Linked DNA regions of Danio rerio. The protein of the gene in region 1 interacts with the protein of each later gene in a biochemical or structural test. Links are inferred from orthologs where the notes say so. Each region holds a gene or a part of one and is shown on either strand. Other genes may lie near its edges. The genes, in order: rasgrp3 and prkcba.

Evidence for each region.
Region 2: of the proteins of rasgrp3 (region 1) and prkcba, one has a biochemical effect on the other in vitro, tested with the Homo sapiens proteins (2 studies listed by BioGRID). The link is inferred for Danio rerio from reciprocal best matches to the Homo sapiens genes RASGRP3 and PRKCB.

Annotation. Positions count from the first base shown.
Region 1 is NC_133192.1:24,445,384-24,449,858, reverse strand, and holds the start of rasgrp3 (ras guanyl-releasing protein 3), read right to left. Parts: upstream 2,956-4,475; 5' UTR 2,906-2,955; intron 2,903-2,905; exon of another isoform or gene 2,787-2,902; 5' UTR 2,714-2,786; intron 1-2,713. UniProt on the Homo sapiens protein: Guanine nucleotide exchange factor (GEF) for Ras and Rap1.
Region 2 is NC_133176.1:10,486,698-10,490,528, reverse strand, and holds part of prkcba (protein kinase C, beta a), read right to left. Parts: coding exon 3,750-3,831; intron 3,679-3,749; coding exon 3,538-3,678; intron 1-3,537. UniProt on the Homo sapiens protein: Calcium-activated, phospholipid- and diacylglycerol (DAG)-dependent serine/threonine-protein kinase involved in various cellular processes such as regulation of the B-cell receptor (BCR) signalosome, oxidative stress-induced apoptosis, androgen receptor-dependent transcription regulation, insulin signaling and endothelial cells proliferation.

The DNA.
Region 1 (4,475 bases):
AGAATTCAGAAACCTAACGCACATCCCAAACCGCATATCTGTGCACTGTTCTATGCCAATTGTAGTATAAATACTGTAGTAATGCATTCACACACACACACACCAAATCCCAAAATAATAAGCACCCTTAAAAAGCTAAGATGTTGTACTAATTCAACCAACAGAATTAAGCATATAGAATGTTCTCATTGGTCACAGCTTTGGCTCACATAGCAGAAGGGGAGGAGCTTTAGAGCGTTGACGTTGGATTACTTTATTTATTTTGGATTGTGCAAATAAATTTCTCCAAATGATGATCCTTATGCTGGATGGACTCATGATACTGTAGGCTCCATTGTTATTTTGCTTATCAATTTCAGGAAGTTAGCAATTGTTAAACATCGTCTTGAAATGGTTTGAATTTCTGGTTAGTAGCAAAATGTTAGTGTTCAAACCTAAACTCATACACTACACACAATAGTGTATAGCGTCATTTGAGACACAACTCTAGTTATTGGTGACATTGATAGTGTGTTTAGCAACTGCAGCCACAGACTTATTGCTTGTGCTCATGCTCAAGACTGAACATAATGCGCAAATCAGGTAAAGTCAAGTCAAGCTAAGCTTTATTGTCAGTCCGCTACATGTGTGAACATACAGTGCCACAAAGTGTAGAGTCTCGCAGGACCACGGTGCTAGATAAATAAACATAATCATACATATGAATACTACACAAGATGTAGGAGCTATTTTCAAAGCCTAAACATAACTAACAAGTGTTAATCTAACTAACTACTAACTAAACATATAGTATTAATACTTCACTATACGCACAACCTAAGACAGACTTTACAAGTATTTTTACATAAGACGGAACAATATTGTGCAAGATAATGTGCAAAGGAGGTGTTTAAGTTTGAAGTAAACAAGTAGTGCATCATACTGTATACTTAATATACTGCAAAGGTGTTTTTTTAATTGTGTAGAAGTACAAGAGCCCCAGGAAACACTGTATGTTGCTATAATGTTCTTATGTGATTGCCATTGAGTTATGTTTTAGGAACTAAACAAGAATCATTTGCTAATGTTCTCTGTAAGTTCTTTTAAAACCTTCCAGGAACAAAAGGGAGCCCCCTTTTTGTACCAACTTAAAGTGAACATAGAAGAGAAAGTTCTGGCAACAAGCTCTGCAATGGCCCGCCATCATATCAACAGATGAGGTAGGTAAAGTTGCACTGTTATGGCAGTTCAGTTATATGTGTGTATATTAAATACAACAGACTTTGAATCAATCCATTTTCTTGGCATGCCACATGTGTTACAGTCCAGAATAGTTTTTTTTAGCATTATACTGATAACTGTAGCATTTGTTTCATGTTTCATACAACATAGAAGAGGTCACGGAACCAAGCATTATATCCACAAACTTCAGAATTTCTTGGAATCCTGAGTCCTTCAGACAAAAACAATTAAACAAAAAAACTGTCAGTAAGATTTGACAAACATTAAAGGAATAACTTTTTGGGAATTTGTTATCGGTTGTTCACACATTGCCAAAAATCATGAGTAAATAAAACTGCTTACAATATTAAGGACCAAACCAATGAACATGCATATGATTTTTTTTATTGTTACATCCAGCTGTAACCCAAATATAAATAATATTCAATAGTGTTTAAAAAAGAATGTGTAGAAACTCAAATGACAAAAAAAACATATTTGTTTTGTACTTTAAACAATATATAACAGTGTATTCATATTGTAATATATTGTATAATAATTATATTAATTTATTGTAAGTTGCATATATATAATTGTATGTGTGTGTGTGTGTGTGTGTGTGTGTGTGTGTATATATATATATATATATATATATATATATATATATATATATATATATATATATATATATATATATATATATATATATATACACACATAGTAATATATGTTTATGACAATATAAAGTACACAAAAACAAATGTAAATCAATTGAAATCACAAATGTATCCATAACACACAATCTCTGCACACTAGGGTAAAGTTGGTTTTATATTTGTACATTCATTCAGTGACAGCTCTCTATATTGTTTGTATGGTAATTTAAACAATTAAAATAAAATAACATGTAATTATGACTTTAAAACTACATTAGCACTATGTAATTGGCAAAATATTTGCTGTTTTTAATATTTGGAATATGCAGTGAATACTTTTGTGAAATTATATTATTAAGAAGAAAGTCTTAATGCATAAATGTAAAACCAACTTTATCTCAATTCTCTGCACAACATGATGGTCAGACTGACCTACTGTAACATCTAACTGACACTAAGGTCGTCAGAACAAACAGATGAATATCAGTGTTTTCCCCACTGCCTCCTATCCTATTATCACCACACAAACATGGCATAACACACCAGACAACTAAAAACGATACAACACCAACAACAACAACAACAAAAAAAACTTCTGACCTTCAAATTCCTCTATCAAAAATCTCTCAAGCTGCAACATGTTTGCGTTAAGAGTGTAAATTGTCCTTCTGTACTCTTCAGCTGATCACAGTAACACCGTCTGGCTTTAAACCACACATTTCACTGTGTAAAACTGACCCAACTGACAACATCTAGCATGCCATAGTTTGACAGTAATTTTATGTAACCACTAAACAAACCACTGGCTTTAATTAGGAGTGAGAATCTCTTATGTGATCAAGTAAAAGAGGTCTTACCTTATTGTGGATATCTTCACACTCAGGACAGATGTGAATAATGCAGCATACTTCTCTGTAAGTAAATGTTTCTCTGAACAAGAAAGAAAGACAGAAAGTATAAACTGCACGTCAGATGCACTGTTCAGTGAGATCAAAGCGCACACAATCAACAAGAGTGTGGTGTGCAAGAGCCGAGCATGTGATACTGACCCCACACAGATGCATGCTGCCGCTCTCCTCCCTCCGCTCTCTCTGGCCCTCCTCCTACACTCACACTCAGTCCCACCCCTCACCTCCCTTCACTCCGTCTCTTTCAGCTCCATCAATCAATCATTCTGTACCTTTCTTCCTCCTCCACCCCTCTCTCTCTTTCTTTCTCTCTCTCTCTCACACACACACATGCAGCTCCAGTACATTAATTACAGACGATAATAACATAGCAGAAAGCAAAGGCAACCCCTGCTGGATTGTAATAACATGGTAAATAAATGAAATAGAATATTTAAGTGCTACTGCATACATCAAGGTATGCTATAGTGCAGGCTTTCAGTTAATTATTTATTAACTGAAATATTACTTATTAACATTTATCTCAGCTGTTAAACGTGTTTGTTTTATTGTTCCTTTTTTGGATGGTCTCTTGCAGTATTTGGAGCTTAAAGAAGCACAAAAATATAATCATTTTAACAAATAAATCTTCCTTTAGACATGAAATGTTATTCACTTATAATATGGGCTTTTGGGCGACATAGTGGCACAGTGGGTAGCGCTTTCGCAAGGAGCAAGAATGCTGCTGGTTTAAGCCTCGGATCAGTTGGCATTTCTGTGTGGAATTTACAGGTGCTCCAGTTTACCCCACAGTCCAAAGACATGCAGTGTAGATGAATTGAATAAACTAAATTGGCCGTAGCGTGTGGGTGTGAATGCAAGACTGTATGGGTTTTTCCCAGTGCTGGGTTGCAACTGGAATGGCATCCACTGTATAAAACAAATGCTGGATAAGTTGGTGGTTCATTTTACGCAACCCTTGATTAATAAAGGGACTAAGCTGAAAAGAAAATGAACGAAATGAATAAATGAATGAATAGGGCTGTTTAATGCTTGATTCTGATTGGCTGATGGACACATTATTTTAACAAAAAAATGGCTGATGTGAAAATTATTTTAACATAAACACAAAGCCAATTTAGTAGGCTACCAAATAGGAGCAATTTAAGGCAAATATTAACCTCGCCAAAATAGTGAAACCCTTTTTTTATTTAGGCTTCTTAGGTGGCAAAGAATTCTGGCCCAGATTTGACATAAATCTGGCACAGCAGGCATTCATCCGGCACTGTCATACAGCATGTGGGCCAAACATGGCCCAGGTTTGGCAGAGGTGGCACCGTCTTTAAGGTGGCACGCAATACTTGGGCCAGATGTAAAATGTAGTATTTGGCCCAGATGTTGATAAATGATATGTGGGCCATGTACGTTTAGCTTATCTTGACCCACATTTAAAATACATTTGTATTATTTTCAAATAAAGAAAAAAGATTCTACCAATCAAGTCGCTTCAAGAAAAAGCACGCCTTGAGTGCAATGATTCATGGGTTTATCAATTTCATTGCAGTCAAGACACCAACATATCTGGCCCAGTTCAGGCTCAGTGATGGGTTATTGACTAGGCCCAGATATGGTCCATGTTTGGCCCTTGTCTGGAAGCCAGACTTGGTCCTATCATGTACCGTAATTCACTGTGGCATCTGGACCAAGCAAAAGCTGATTGTGTGGCCCTAAG
Region 2 (3,831 bases), on another chromosome or scaffold:
ATCCTCCTTTACTGCAGAGTTTAGCTCCAACCTGTAGTAGTTTTTGTATTTCAGCACTTTGTTATTAAGTAAATAACCATTTGCCCTCATAATCCCATAACCTTCCCTCCACTCTCGAAATGACTTTTCACTTCTGGTCACATGGAGTTCCTTTAGGGAATGGCTATCAATAGGAGTCTCATTTCTAGTCTGAATTCGCCCCCATTCGTCAGTCTTCCTTCATTTTGTTAGCAAAACCCTTCTTTCAATAATTTAATCAGTTCCCAAAGAACAAAATCATGCACCTGCATGCATTTTATACTCATTGTAGGACTGTTTCAAGTGGATGTACGCCACGATGGCAGAAAAAAATGACAAATAACCTCCCTTTCATGGCGACTTTGAAGCAAAACTATGCAAGTTTCTCAGGTGGTTAATAAGTGCAATTGCGTGCTTCCAGTGTTGAAACTGTTGTTGCGCTTTACCAATCACATGCATTCGTTGACTAACCTGAGATGTCCACCAACACAGATAAATAGCCTGTGTTACACAACACTGTTTTCCACAAATATCCTCACATGGCAGCCAGTTGGTGTTGGTTCTATATTAGATTGTTTCATCTCAGTTTTTTTAATAGTAAATGAATAAAGAAATCAACAAATTTTCATTTGCTAAAAGATTTTTAAATGCGCATGGAGATAAAGAACCACGTGACGCATTTAAAATCCGCATGCCCAAGTTAAAGCAGAAGTCACGTTTAACTATTGGCCCACAACAATATTTTCGACCAATCAGCTTTCTTGGTTTACAATCAGTCTCATTGGTTGGCTTTTATTGTTTCGTGCGCAATAAGCAACGAAAATAAATAATGGCATAGTGGCCTACCTAAATAATATTTGTATTTTCAAAATGCCAAAGAGGCCACATAAAAGTGAAATGAACCGAATGCCATTGGTGTTAGTAAACTGAATAGTGACATTTCATAAGATTTAAGTTTGTACGCTTGTTACATGTTTGTTTTTTATCCATGGTTGACCCATAACCTTAAATGACACAAAATAATTAAAGATCGTTCCGAAATTTGATGCTTTTATCCCCGCTATAACTGTTTAGTGATGTCATGTTCTGGGAAAACTGAAAATGTGTGGGGGACATCGATCACGGTAACTTTTACCTGGTTTTGTTCCGGAAATTATTCATTTACAAATTAAGCACTGAAGTTAAAACTAGCTCTGTTCTTTGCATTGCAATATTTGATCATTTTTACATCAGTTCAGTTCAGTTATCTCCTAATCCCGTTTAAATCAATGTCAGGCAGACCGAAAGAGTTTGTGTGTAAATGATACTGGCATATTTAGTGAAGTTTTTAAACTTATTTCGATAGGAGCACATGATACGATTGATCGCGGCTGGTCTCTCATTTATAATAATCGGTAATAATCCAATCGGATTGATCTAAGCCAACTATCTTTGTTTTGGAAGAATCTTCCCTTCCCTTCCACGCCATCTCCTTCTTTTCCTTCTTTACTATGGGGAGCTCTCGAGCCCTACCTGATCTCCGACCCTCTTACATGCTAAAAGACCTGGCGAGAACCCTGAGCTCAATTATCTCCAAGCTCAGGGTTCTCTCCCAGGACAGCATGCCAAACCTGCTAATAGCGTCAAGCAATATCTAAGTGTGAACTCTTGAAACAGCTCATAGTTACAAATGTTATCTACCTCTTTGCTAAATATAGTGTATTTATATTGAATCTCAAATATTTTTGAGCGTTTTGGTGAGTTTGTTGATCAACATCAGCTCCCTGGTGATGCACGCATGAATTGGGCTCTGGCAACTGTTACTGGGTTGCTAGGGTCACTACTAGTTGCTAGGGTTACTTCTACTGTGATCAAAACTGACTGGAAAAACCTGTGCATTACATGATTTTACTGCACACTTTCCAGCCAATCAGAATCAAGAATTTCAACAGAACATGAAAAAAAAGTGCCATTTATACCCTTCCGGTGTGGCTTTAATGTCTGAAACTTTTTATTTTAGGGTGAGACCGCACCAAACAACACTTAAAAAAAGCCTTTTCAATAGTATTTGTGTCTCTGAATGTGAAAGCAAACCATTGCCTCACTTCACACATCTGTGTTTACATGATTTTTTGTGGTTTAAGAGCAGAGCAAGAAGAGTTGTTTTATTTCCTGAGCAGGCACCTTTGTCACAAAAACATCTCTGAAAATTAGCCCCGTAAATAACAAAATGTGCTTCATCACTGCAGGTAAAATACACTCAACGGCCACTTTATTAGGTACACTTTACTAGTACGGAGTTGAACCCACTTTTGCCTTCAAAACTGCCTTAATCCTCCATGGCATAAATTCAACAAGATACTGGAAATATTCCTCAGACATTTTGCAACATATTGACATGATAGCATCATAGTTGCTGCAGATTTGTCAGCAGCACATCCATGATGCGAATCTCCAGTTATACCACATCCCAAAGGTGCTCTATTGGATTGAAATCTGGTGACTGTGGAGGCCACTTGAGTACAGTGAACTCATTGACATATTCAGTAAACCAGTCTGAGATGATTCGTGCATTATGGCATGGCTTGTTATTCTGCTGGTAGTAGAAGATGGGTACACTGTGGTCATAAAGGGATGGACATGGTCAGCAACAATACTCAGGCAGGCTGTGGTGTCTACACGATGCTCAAGTGGTACTAATGAGCCCAAATTGTGCCAAGAAAATATACCCCACACCATTGCACCCCCAGCAGCCTGAACCGCTGATACAAAGCAGGATGGATCCATGCTTTCATGTTGCTGATGTCTAATTCTGTCCCCACCATCCGAATGTTGCAGCAGAAATGAAGACTCATCAGACCTGGCAACGTTTCTCCAATCTTCTATTGTCCAATTTTGGTGAGCCTGTGTGAATTGTAGCCTCAGTTTCCTGTTCTTAGCTGACAGGAGTGGCACCAGGTGTGGTCATCTGCTGCTGTAGCCAATCTACCTCAAGGTTGTCTTGTTGTGCGTTCAGAGTTCTCTTCCTCATACCTTGGGTTGTAACGAGTGGTTATTTGAGTTACTGTCGCCTTTCTATCAGCTCCAAACAGTCTGCCCATTCTCCTCTGACCTCTGGCATCAGTAATGCATTTGCACCCACAGAACTGCTGCTCACTGGATATTTTCTCATTTTCAGACCATTCTCTCTGAATCCCAGTAGATCTGCAGTTTCTGAAATACTCAGACCAGCCCCTCTGCCACCAACAACCATGCCACATTCAAAGTCACTTAAATAATCTTTCTTCTGATGCACAGTTTAAACTGCAGCAGGTCGTCTTGACCATGTTTACATGCCTAAATACATCGAGTTGCTACCATGTGATTGGCTAATTAGATATTTGCGTCAACTAGCAGTTGGACAGATGTACCTAATAAAGTGGCCGGTAAGTGTATATACTAGAGAAAGTGCAAAAACAACACCACTGCGCTTTTATTGATGTGTGTGGTGCAGTAACCAGATAAACACTTACACACACACGTAGCTGCATTTTTACTTACAGATTTGGGTTTGTATGGAGGTTGAACTTCCTTGTTTTGCAGTCTTTCCCAGTCCACGAAACGGAAGAAAGCATGCTCTTTAATGTCCCGTTCGCCCTCCAGTCCACAGCCCAGACGTTTACCGGGATGCTTGGTCATCAGCTGCAAACACAAAAGCTCTATTAGTGTGTGCGAGAGTAGACAAGAGTGTATGAAGCTTGTGCAACTCGTACCCCCTTGCATATGGCGACTGCTTCTTTGGACATGGATTTGGGGTAAGACACGTGATGCTCCATGATGGACTGGAACAGCTCA